Linked DNA regions of Cricetulus griseus. The protein of the gene in region 1 interacts with the protein of each later gene in a biochemical or structural test. Links are inferred from orthologs where the notes say so. Each region holds a gene or a part of one and is shown on either strand. Other genes may lie near its edges.

What was found. The genes of interacting proteins can lie anywhere in the genome.
Region 2: the proteins of Chd4 (region 1) and Adnp form a complex in vitro, tested with the Homo sapiens proteins (2 studies listed by BioGRID). The link is inferred for Cricetulus griseus from reciprocal best matches to the Homo sapiens genes CHD4 and ADNP.

Annotation. Positions count from the first base shown.
Region 1 is NC_048601.1:21,330,620-21,335,792, forward strand, and holds the start of Chd4 (chromodomain-helicase-DNA-binding protein 4), read right to left. Parts: upstream 3,238-5,173; 5' UTR 3,084-3,237; intron 3,047-3,083; exon of another isoform or gene 3,024-3,046; intron 2,251-3,023; 5' UTR 2,172-2,250; coding exon 2,072-2,171; intron 1-2,071. UniProt on the Homo sapiens protein: ATP-dependent chromatin-remodeling factor that binds and distorts nucleosomal DNA. Acts as a component of the histone deacetylase NuRD complex which participates in the remodeling of chromatin.
Region 2 is NC_048599.1:11,176,320-11,181,515, forward strand, and holds the start of Adnp (activity-dependent neuroprotector homeobox protein), read left to right. Parts: upstream 1-1,908; 5' UTR 1,909-2,040; intron 2,041-3,902; exon of another isoform or gene 3,903-4,043; intron 4,044-5,196.

The sequences.
Region 1 (5,173 bases):
CCATTTTCACTCATTCCAGTATCAAGTCAGGTTAGAAGACCCCTCTCATTCCCAAACGATCATTTTCTTAAAGGCTTCTCCCCCACAGCCCTTACAGTACCCCTCAATCAGTTGCACCCTTCTTCATCTTTGCCTACAGAGCAGAAGAGACAAGGACAAGCACATGGAGGCAAAGCAATGCCTGCCTCTCCGTCCGCATGCACCCCTCAAACTCCTCAGGCAATCACACGCTGAAATGACAAGCAACACACTGCAGGAGACAGAAAGGAAGATTTGGGAAAGGGGCAAATTGGGTGTGTCATGTGGAAAAACTGGGTCAAGCTACACAGTGGGGCAGAGTTCACACTGAGAGACTGCATAGCTCACACTCAACTCGGGAGGAAAGCCCTAGACCAAAGGGATAATAGCCCAAAGGCTACGCTGAGGACCAACACTGGTGGGACAGCACTACTCATCCTGCCCCTCACAAAGAATATGAAGGAAAGTAAGCCTTCTTCCTTACCACCACCCCATAAAGGCACAGGAATCTGCAGCCTTACACCTCAGTGATGAGATGCAAATCTAAGTCCCTTATCCCAGTGGCCAAAGGTAACAGCTCTCTTAAATGGCCTGGGACTGTGAAGTAAATAATTTCAAATCAGAAAATGTCACATTTGCTGAGCAGTGGTAGCACACGTCTTTAATCCCAATACTCATGAGGCAGGTTCATCTCTGTGAGTTGGAGGATAGCCTAATCTACAGAGTGAGTTCCAGGACAGCCAGGGCTACAAAGAGAAGCCCTGTCTCAAGAAAAAAGAAAAGAAAAAGGCAAATTTAATTTAAAAAGCATTTCTTTGGGCTACCTCAAAATCCAGTTGGATCTAAGGAAAAGGCAGAAGTGAAAACCATGTCATAAAAAACAAAAACAGGCCTGGCCATGGTGGTGGACACCATTTAATCCCAGCACTCAGGAGGCAGAGGCAATTGTATCTCTGTGAGTTCGAGGCCAGGCTGGTCTACAAAGCAGATGCCAGGACAGCCAGGGCTGTTACATAGAAAAACCACAAAAACAAAAACAAAAAAATCAAGACCACCAGACTCCAGAATGGTAGGGAAGGACTTGCTTTTTTTAATTTAAATTTAAAATTTTTTTAAGTGAACAGGGAGTCAATAAACCAATAGGTGTCTCAACTACGGGGCTCTGAATAAGGAGACAAGAGAAGAAATCCACTTATAAGCATGACATCAACCATCACTTGAGAACAGGCACTTGGGCAAGCTGGTTATAACTTTACGGGTTTGGCCAGTCCAAGGAGCCACCCCAAAACACCGATAGTGCAAACCCTAACACACCCACACAAACACCTCACACCACTAACCCAGACCCCAAACTACTTCGGAGTGGCCGAAGCCTCTAGGAAGGAAGCCAGGATTATGTCCACTCCGGGGGAAAAGGAGTCCCCTTCCTTCACTCTGCCTCTCCTTACTCGGGTACTGCATCCTCCTAGTCCCCCCATCCCTTCCTCACTCAAAAAAATCCCAATAATCTGCCTAGCTAAAAGTTCTCTAGATCCGACAAGGAGCGAGATTCAAACTTCGCACTCCTGAAACTGCGCAGAAAACCGGTAACTGATTACAAGCTAAAAATAATCGGACAGAGAGCAACCAACCAACACTCCCACTTTCTTTTCCCGAGAACAACTGCGGGATCCCAAATGCCTGGCAGGGCTCCTACAACAGAAATCTCAACGCTCCCCACCGTGTCACCAGTCTCCAGGAGTCCCAGCCACCTGCATTCCTAAGAACCTGCACAAGGTAAATGCCTGCTAGCCCAGAGAGCTCCCTCAACTGGGAACTGCGGAGTATTCCAGACAGCCTTGAGTACAGCCAGCTTACATCTGGGTCCGCGGTGGCCAGGAGGCGCATGGCTCCCCCCTCCCAAGACACAAGAGCTCCGCAGAAGAGAACCACTCCCTTCGGATGCCCTCCGCCCTGGGCTCTGCAGGCAGGAGACAAGCGCACACCCAGCCTCACTCCAGTCTCCAGGAAAGATCAAACACTTCCTGCCCTGGGCGCTCTGGGAAGACGTTACCTGGATGGGGTGGGGGCAGGCTGTTGTTCAGAAGTGCATCCATATCCTCCTCCTCACTGCCCGCTGAGCAGGGGGACGGGGAGCCCAGGCCCGACGCCATCCCCTTCCGCTCCCCGGCCAGGGAATTGGCCCAGCTGCTCCTGCCTGCGGCCTGGGGCCCTCTACACTGGCCCGAGTCACTGTGCGGGGGAGGGGGGAGAACAGTGAGTGACGCGCAGTCCCCCTCCCCCACTCGCTCTTTCCGCCCCCCCCTCCCCGGCCCTGCCACCCCAGCCGAGCACCCGAAGCACTCAGGCTGAACTTAGTTCCACACTCCTCGGGGACCGCCCGCCCGCGAGCCGGCTCCCCGGCAGGAGCCCCCACGAAGAGGGAGCGATGCCCCCGAGGTCAGGCTGGTGCACGGTGGGGTGGGGACTCGCTGGGCGAGAGTGAACCGGGGGAGCCTGAGGAGGGGGTCCGAGTGGCGGGCGAGGCGCGGAGGGGTCAGGGAGGCGGCCGGTGCTCGGGGACACAAGGTCACTTGGGAGTGGGGGGGGCGCCTCTCTGAGCCCGGGGAGGGGCCAGTCCCCAGACAGGGCAGCTCTCCAAAGGCTGTCCCTCTGGGACAACTCGGGTTCTCTTCCGGAACGGCGGGGACCAGGGGGCGTGGAGGCTCGGGCGCTCCAGGGTCCCGAGGAGTCGGGACGCCGGCGGAGACGAGCTCCCACCGAGAAGGGGGCCGGGCCACGTGTCCCGGGGGGCCAGCGAGCAAAGGGCGAGGGGCGGGCGCCCGGCATTGTGGGAGGCCGAGCCCCGGAGAGGGGCGCGGGGAGCACGACTCCCTCAGGGCAGGGCGACGGCCTGGGGGCAACCCGGACGCCTCAGGGGAGGAGGAACAGGGTCGGCTCCCCGGCCCGGGAACGGCCCGCCGGCCCCGGGACGCCTGAGGAGGAAGGGACAGGTGAAGCGATACCCCTCAAGATGATGTCGGGCTGTGAGAGACGTCTCTCCCGGAGCCTCGCGCTCCCCTCACCCTAGAGCCGCCTCAGGTCGCGCTGGGTCTCGCCGGTGTCACTCCCGCTCCGGCTCCTCCTCACCGCGGCCGAAGGGGGGAAAATGGCTCCGGCTCCGGCGTCGCCTCTTAAAGGGCCCGAAACACCGGCCGGGAAATCCCACCGCACAGGCCCCGCCCCCCCACGGACAGCCCATAATAACCTCAACCAACTCCAACCCCCCCTCCACTACCGCCACCCTCCTCCCTAGGTCTCCCGGGCAACCCCCGCCCCCTCGTCGCTCAGGCAACCATTGGCCACGCCCCCGTCGAGCGCGCGCGCGCGTCACCCGGGCAACCGCCCACCTCCTGGCCATCCCATAATACACACGGACACCCCACATACACACACCCCGCCCCCAACACTCCATGCATATATGTGCCCGGGGGCTACTGACATATACTGCAGACCTTTACAAACTAAACCTGCTCCCCACCTCAGATATCCCATAATAACCACTCTTTGCCAACTTCTTCACTCTTGGCTCTACTGCTAACATCCCATAATAACTCGTTACCCCTCCCTCCCCTTGGCCATCCCATAATAAGCACCCCTCCCATCACTTCAGCCTCATATCCCATAATACTCAACCCCATCCCCCACTGACATCCCATAATAACCACCCTTCATCCACCCCCAGTTTGATATCCCATGATTGTCAGAAACTCACCCACCCCACACTACAACGGACACTCGGCCTCCTCCCACACACATCCCGTAATAATCAGTCTCCCACTTTCTACACTGATATCCCATAATAGCCAACCCCCTAGAGCTGCCCTCAGTCCCCGCACACCAGGGTGTTCAGGGTGTTCTAGATGTTCACATCACCACCCCCAGCCTTCCTGGTCTTTCTAGCTCCAAGGCCCATAAATTACGTTCCTCCCTATCAAAGAGATACTCACTAATGACCAGCAGCAGCTCTACTGTCACCCCACAAATGGACAGACGTCTAAATCTCCTGTCCCCTAACACTGGGGCAATGTCCCATCATTTACTCCATCTATTTGGACAGCCCATGACACCATAATACGGCCAACACAACCGAGTGCCACGTCCAGTAATACTTGTGCTGCACTCCACCACCTCACACAGGTCTTCTGGCCGGACATCCCATAATAGTCACAACCTCCCCCATCTCTAGAAGCTGTCAGTCTCTTCCAAACACCCAAGAGCAGAGAGGGTGTGGCAAACTACTAACTGCCCTGTCCCCGCCCCCATTAGCACACACCTTATTCCCTTTCTGCCCGAAAGGAGTAAGTACTCTGGTCAGAAGCCTCTCAATGTTCAGGACCTTGGGCTCCCTAGCTCACCGTTTCCAGACACTCAGGAACAGAGAGCCAACCTACAGCCCCATCCAATCCAATCAAAATCCAGGTATATCCCAGATGCTTACCTCCCACTCTGAAAGTTTGTGTAAAACCAAACAAATAATATATTACTAGATGAAAAACTTGCATGAACTTTAACTGACCCAGAACATCCCATACTAATTATAAACCCCCATCCAAAAACTATTTCTCAACATTCCAGCAGTCCTCTCCACTGCCTCTCTCAAGTCCAGGCCGCCCCTATGGCTATCCCATCATCACCACATGAACTGAAGACCCCCTGTAATGCCTTGCTCGCTGGCTCTCTGCTCCCCTTTACTCGTGTTCATTACACATCCCTTTGACAGAGAACCTAGCAAGGTACAGAGAGCTGGCACAAAAACTAAGAAGGCAAAGAAAGAAAGATACAGGTGCCTTCCCACAAGAAACATAAACAGCTGGGAATGGTGCCATATGCCTGTAATCCCAGCACTCAGAAGGCAAGATGATCAAGAGTTTAAGGCCATCCTTTGCTACTTAGTGAATTCAAGGCCAGCCTGGGCTTCAGTAGAATCAAGTCTCAAATAAATAAACATTATTATCAGCACCCATGCTCTAACCAACCAGGCTAACAGGGCACCAATAAATAATTTTAAAAGAAGAAGTAAACCACCAAAGAAACCATGATATAATATAAAAATAGCTGGTCAAAGAATTACTGCTGACCACTACTTCCCAATGTCCTGCCATACAGAACTGAA
Region 2 (5,196 bases), on another chromosome or scaffold:
TTCAGAAGTCATGTAGAGGAGGAGGATGCCAATTTTTCAGCTCCACTTTTGTACTAATTCTGGTGAGATAAACATGCACATCTTTTTTTTTTTTTTAAACCCCTGAATCCAGCACCTTTTGTGCTTCAAAGTAAAGGCAGTGATGAAATCCAGATTCCTTCACACTGCTGTTATGGCTGTATGAAATCTGCTTGTCTAAGGAAAACTAGAGATGAATTTACTTTGCCTATTTAATATTCCCGTTGTCTGTTTCTCCATATCTTGAGTCCTTTGATGAAAGGGCTTGCCCCACCCCTTTTTAAAGAACTTCTGTCTCTTGTTTTTCATTGAGGCATTGATTACACTTTTAAATATATAATACCTGCAGAAAGAAAACAATAGTGTCAGATGAAGGTTTATTCAACTTGCTACCAAACCCTTAGACACGGAGCTGCATATAGTTTGTAAGATTCTTTCAAACTTGTAACTTAAGCAAGTGTAGAGATCACCTATTTTTTTAAAAAGTGGGTGTGGCCAATATATCACAACTTCACTTGCTACTTTTCCATATGCTCTAGGGTAACTACTGTTCATTTAAAGGGGACCTAAGGGTGTTGATGTTGACATGGTGTGTTGGTTGGAGCTGATCTAAAGTGACAAAGCCAACAGTCCATGTATTGTCATGCTGAAATTGGGGGACCACCAGAACTTTTCATCTTTCAGCATCGTGAGTTCGATGGCCTCAACTCTACAAATCCCACTTTTTCTTATTTAAGTCAAGGAGAAATGGCCATCTGATGACTTGGAAGAATGTCTTGAGTCCAAGAAACAGCAGAACTGTAAAGCTGAGCCCTTGTCCACCTGTTATCCCACAGCAACCCACTAGAAGAGCTGACATGGCCCCAGAGCCATGTCATCTCAAGAGAATGTGTGAAGCACGAGGGCATCACACCTCACTTCAGGCTGGAGGCATCAGGCTCAGCCCTCCGCCTTGCCTCTCAGCCTGTGAGAGCACGCTCTGTGAGCACGTGGAGCCTCGGGGCCGCCCGCGCACCCTCCCTCCAGATGTAGTCCAGGCCCAGATGGGCCCGCGCAGGGATCCCCAGCACAGCCACCTGACTGATTGTCGGAGCGTGCTGCGGCCCGCTGCTTGTGCCTCCGCCGGCGGCGCTGCGGCCAGGGGAAGGGAAGGGAAGGGAAGGGAAGGCACCCAGGAGCGCACTGCGGCCATTATCCACGGCGCCTCCTAGCGGCTCAATGGGGAAGCCTCCAAGTTCTCGCGAGAGCTCCCCAGAGTGGGGGTTATATAATCTCCCCAGGCTAGGTTGGGGGTGCTGAAGGCACCCTCCGGCGGGAGCAGTGGGGGTCGGCGCGGCGCGCGGCCGGAGAGCGGTCCCCCGAGGGTCCCGGTGCAGGGGGCCTGGCCCCCCGCCCCCCCAGGAGCTGGACAATGAGTCCTCTTATGCTAATGAGGGGCTTACGTCACTTCCGCTCTTTCTCGGCCGCCATTTTGGCTAGGGCAGGTTCGGGGACTCGCTCTGAGGCGCTTGTATTGTCTGCTGAGGGGAGACGCGGGACCAGCCCCCTCCCCCGCCCGCCGCCGCCGCGCCGCCGGCCCGTCCACCCGCCGCCGCCGCCGGGACCATGAGCTGAGCGCCCGCCCCCGGCCGCCGCCATCTTGGCCCCCTCCCCCTCCGCGCCGCCGCCGCGCCGCGCTCGGGGGGATTTGGCGTCTCCTCAGACACAGCTCCCTCTCTCGGTCCCCGCCGCCGAGGAGCCGCGCGGCTGTGCCGCCCGCCGGCCCGCGACGGTGAAGCCGCGGCCCCACGCCCTCCGCCGCCCTCCGCCCCTCCTTTGTCTGCACTGCCCGCGCCGCCGCCCGCCGCTCTGCTGCGCCCGCCGCGCCCCCGGCAGCAGCCGCGGCCGCGGCTCGAGCCGGAGCCGGAGCCCGAGCGCGACGAGGCCCCGGGCGCGTCCTCGCCGCCATCGCCGTGCCGCCGCCCGCTCGCCGCCGGGCCTCGGAGCACGCCGGCCCCGCGCACGCCTCGAGGCCGAGCCAAGGTAAGCCCGCGGCCCTGCCCTGCCCGGCCCGGCCCGGCCCTGCCGGCCTCCGGTCCCGGGCGCGGTCCTCGTGCTCCGCGCGCACACTGCCCTCCACCGGCCTCTGCCCTCCACCTCCTGCAGCCCGACCCCTCTCCGCCCCGAGAGCCCGCCGGCCGGCCGGCAGGCTGGTGGCATCTTCCCGCACCCACCCCGCCCCCAACAGGACCCCGCTCTCTCGGCCCCCAAACTCATCCCTCGCCCCCTCCCCCCACGCCCGCCCTCGGTCCCCGGAACCAGCCTTCTGCCAGGTCTGCCCACCCTAGGCTGCGGGGGAGGGGAGCGGCCTGGGGGGCGGGGAGTGCATGGCACGGAGGGAAAGTCTTTGCCACCCCGACAACATGCCTGCTTCCCTCCCATCCCAACAAGCACAGCCAGCCCTTCGCCAGCCCGGCTCTCGCTCCCGGCTGCCTGCTCAGCACTACCCTTTAGAGCTTTCTGATACTCAACTTTGCAGTCAGAAAATGGAAATCCAGAAAGCCGCGAAAAGCTTTTTGTCGAATGCAATGAATGGGGAGTAGTTGTGAGCACCCTCTCATTCACCTCTTCTTTCCTCTGGGCTGCCTGTCCTCGTCCTCAGCCACCCACCCACCCCACCCCACCACCTGGATGCCTGTCTGGTAGAAAAGGCGCGATTGCTTCTCTTCCTCTTGTGTCCAAGATCGGGCTTTGAAGTCTAACACCCGTTTTAGCTTCACTCCCTGCCACACACCGCAAGTGTCTTCTCAGTGTTCTTCAGTCACCAACCAGTTCCTCTGGACAGTTCTTGTCATAACCCCATTTCACAGACAAAGGCTTAGGAGGGAAAAAGAACCAAACTGTTTCCTGTGTTAGCCATTTTAATACTGTCCAACCCCAAACGCCCAGTTCCCATCCCTGATGCTTCTTGTGCCTGTGTCTTGAACCTTCAGGATGGGGGGGGGGCCTGTCTCTTGGATAGCTTTGTGCAGTTTCTTTATAAATCTGCATTGTTGCTTCTGGTTTATGGCCATGAAGAAAATACCAGCCCCCACCCAAAATGCACCGCAGCCAACTCGGTTAAAGGCAATGAGTGTTGGAGTCAGTAGGGGGCGCATTCTCTGCACTGGGTAAGGCTGCAGAGGGGGGAAGGGCCCCAGAACTGGAACAGGATGTGCTTAACAGCGCCTTCTACAGACCAATCGAAAATGGGTCCAGCAAGACTTGCACTTAGTTGAGCTGACAGCAACATGGCGAAGGATGAAGTGAGCCTACAGAGAGATTTTTATTTAAGAAAGCCACATCATCGTTTGGAAAGTTTTTACTTGTTCCAAACTGTTCACCCTCAGACTTTGGTTGCTGATCAGTCACCTTCATGCACATCCTTAGGTCATAGGTTCCCTTTCTCAACCTTCAGGTTTGGATGCGTCAACATCTCTTTCCTAGGCCAGATGGTAAAGGGGGTGTTTTAAATCTGAAAGTAATGGGCTTGGGGTATCACTGGTCAGTCCAAATCTCTCCAGCTCTTTTGAGAGTGAAAAGTCATTTTTTTAAGAGGTTTTTATGGGGTGGTGATTTTCATAGCCATGAGAAATGGGTGTCATGATTTGCAAGGCTTTGTTGGTAAACATCAGATCCTTATTGAGTTCTTCATTGTCAAACTTAATAGAGTTGATTGCAAATTTTTGTTGCCTTCCAACTTCAGTCTTCCAGCAGTGTGTTCTGTCGGTAGCCAACTGCCTTTGCAAGTGTTGACACCAGGCTTGGTGTGCACCACTTTCTTAGGGTGTGTGGATTTCCGTAGATTTTACTCCTGTTGTTATTTCCATAGGTGTGAGATGCACAGTACGAAACCTAGGCCCCAGCTTTTACACCGTGATGCACAGGGTTGCACTTTTTGTACTGAGCTGATAGGTGGCCTAGTGGTTATTCCCTGTACTGCCATTTTGAGGATCTGGACTCCGTTCCCTGCCTTGCTCTTTGGACTACATTGTCAATTCACACCGGTGGGTATATCATTTTGGAGGGTGGGTGCTGAAGCATCAGGGAAGCCAGATACTTCCTCCTTGGTCACCACCAAAATGTACCCTTCCAAAATTTCAGCTTAGCCATATTCCTCAAGGAACCAGTTAGAGTTGGTTGCAGTAGTAGAATTCTGAACATGTTAGAAATGTGACTCTTTTAATAGAGAGAATTTTAAAGTTGATGGTGTTATAGTCATTTGCAGTCTGTACTGTTGGGCATAAAGTTTTAAGTAAACTCAAGACTTGCTAAGCTTCTAAGAGCCTTAATTTCTTAACTTGGTTAAAGGGAGTTGGGGGCAATGGGTCATTGATAGAGATCAAGATTAGCCTGGTAGGAGTTCCTGCACTTGTTCTTGCTTGGGAAGATTGACAATGGGTGTTGATACCTGTGGATACTTTATCCTACTATTACAAACATCTTACATAGACATGCCAAGATAAATTTATGGGATGCCAAATGGATGTGTATGATATATAGTTTACCATTTAGTGCTTGAAGATTTTTTTTTTCTTTGTTAGATGGTTGCCACAAGGTAACTTTTTCTGTGTGAAAAGGAGGCACCTTGGTGCCAGTATTGCCCTGAGAGACTGCACTGGATTCACATTTTATGTATTTATATATCTTTAGTATTTACAGAATCCATTATTAAATACAAATAGAATTGTTAGTGATCTTGAAATACTGTATTTGTATTTGTTAGACTTGTAGTTTTGTCCTATATTCTCCTGTTTGGTAGTAGGTTGTTTTTAAGATGATTTTTTTTTTTTTAATGTACATTTGGGATTTTGCCTTTATGTATGTCTGTGAGGATGCCAGATCCCCTGGAACTGGAGTTACAGACAGATGTGAACCGCATGAGGGTGCTGGGAAGTGTGCCAGTTAATCTCATTCTTAAGTAAATAATAAGGTTTGAGTATATGTTTGCGGTTTGCAAATGTGATTTTGTTCATTCTAGTAAATGAAATACAGTGTTAGCTAGTATCCTTGTCATTTTTCCTTCAGGGAACCTTGTGAACTGAGAATGAGTACACTCTTAAGTTTGAACAGTTAACTGGGTTTGACACAAAAAGGGGGAAGGTAGGCACAGTTGAGTTTGAAATCAAAAAAAAATGTTTTTATGTGTGTGTTTTTTGT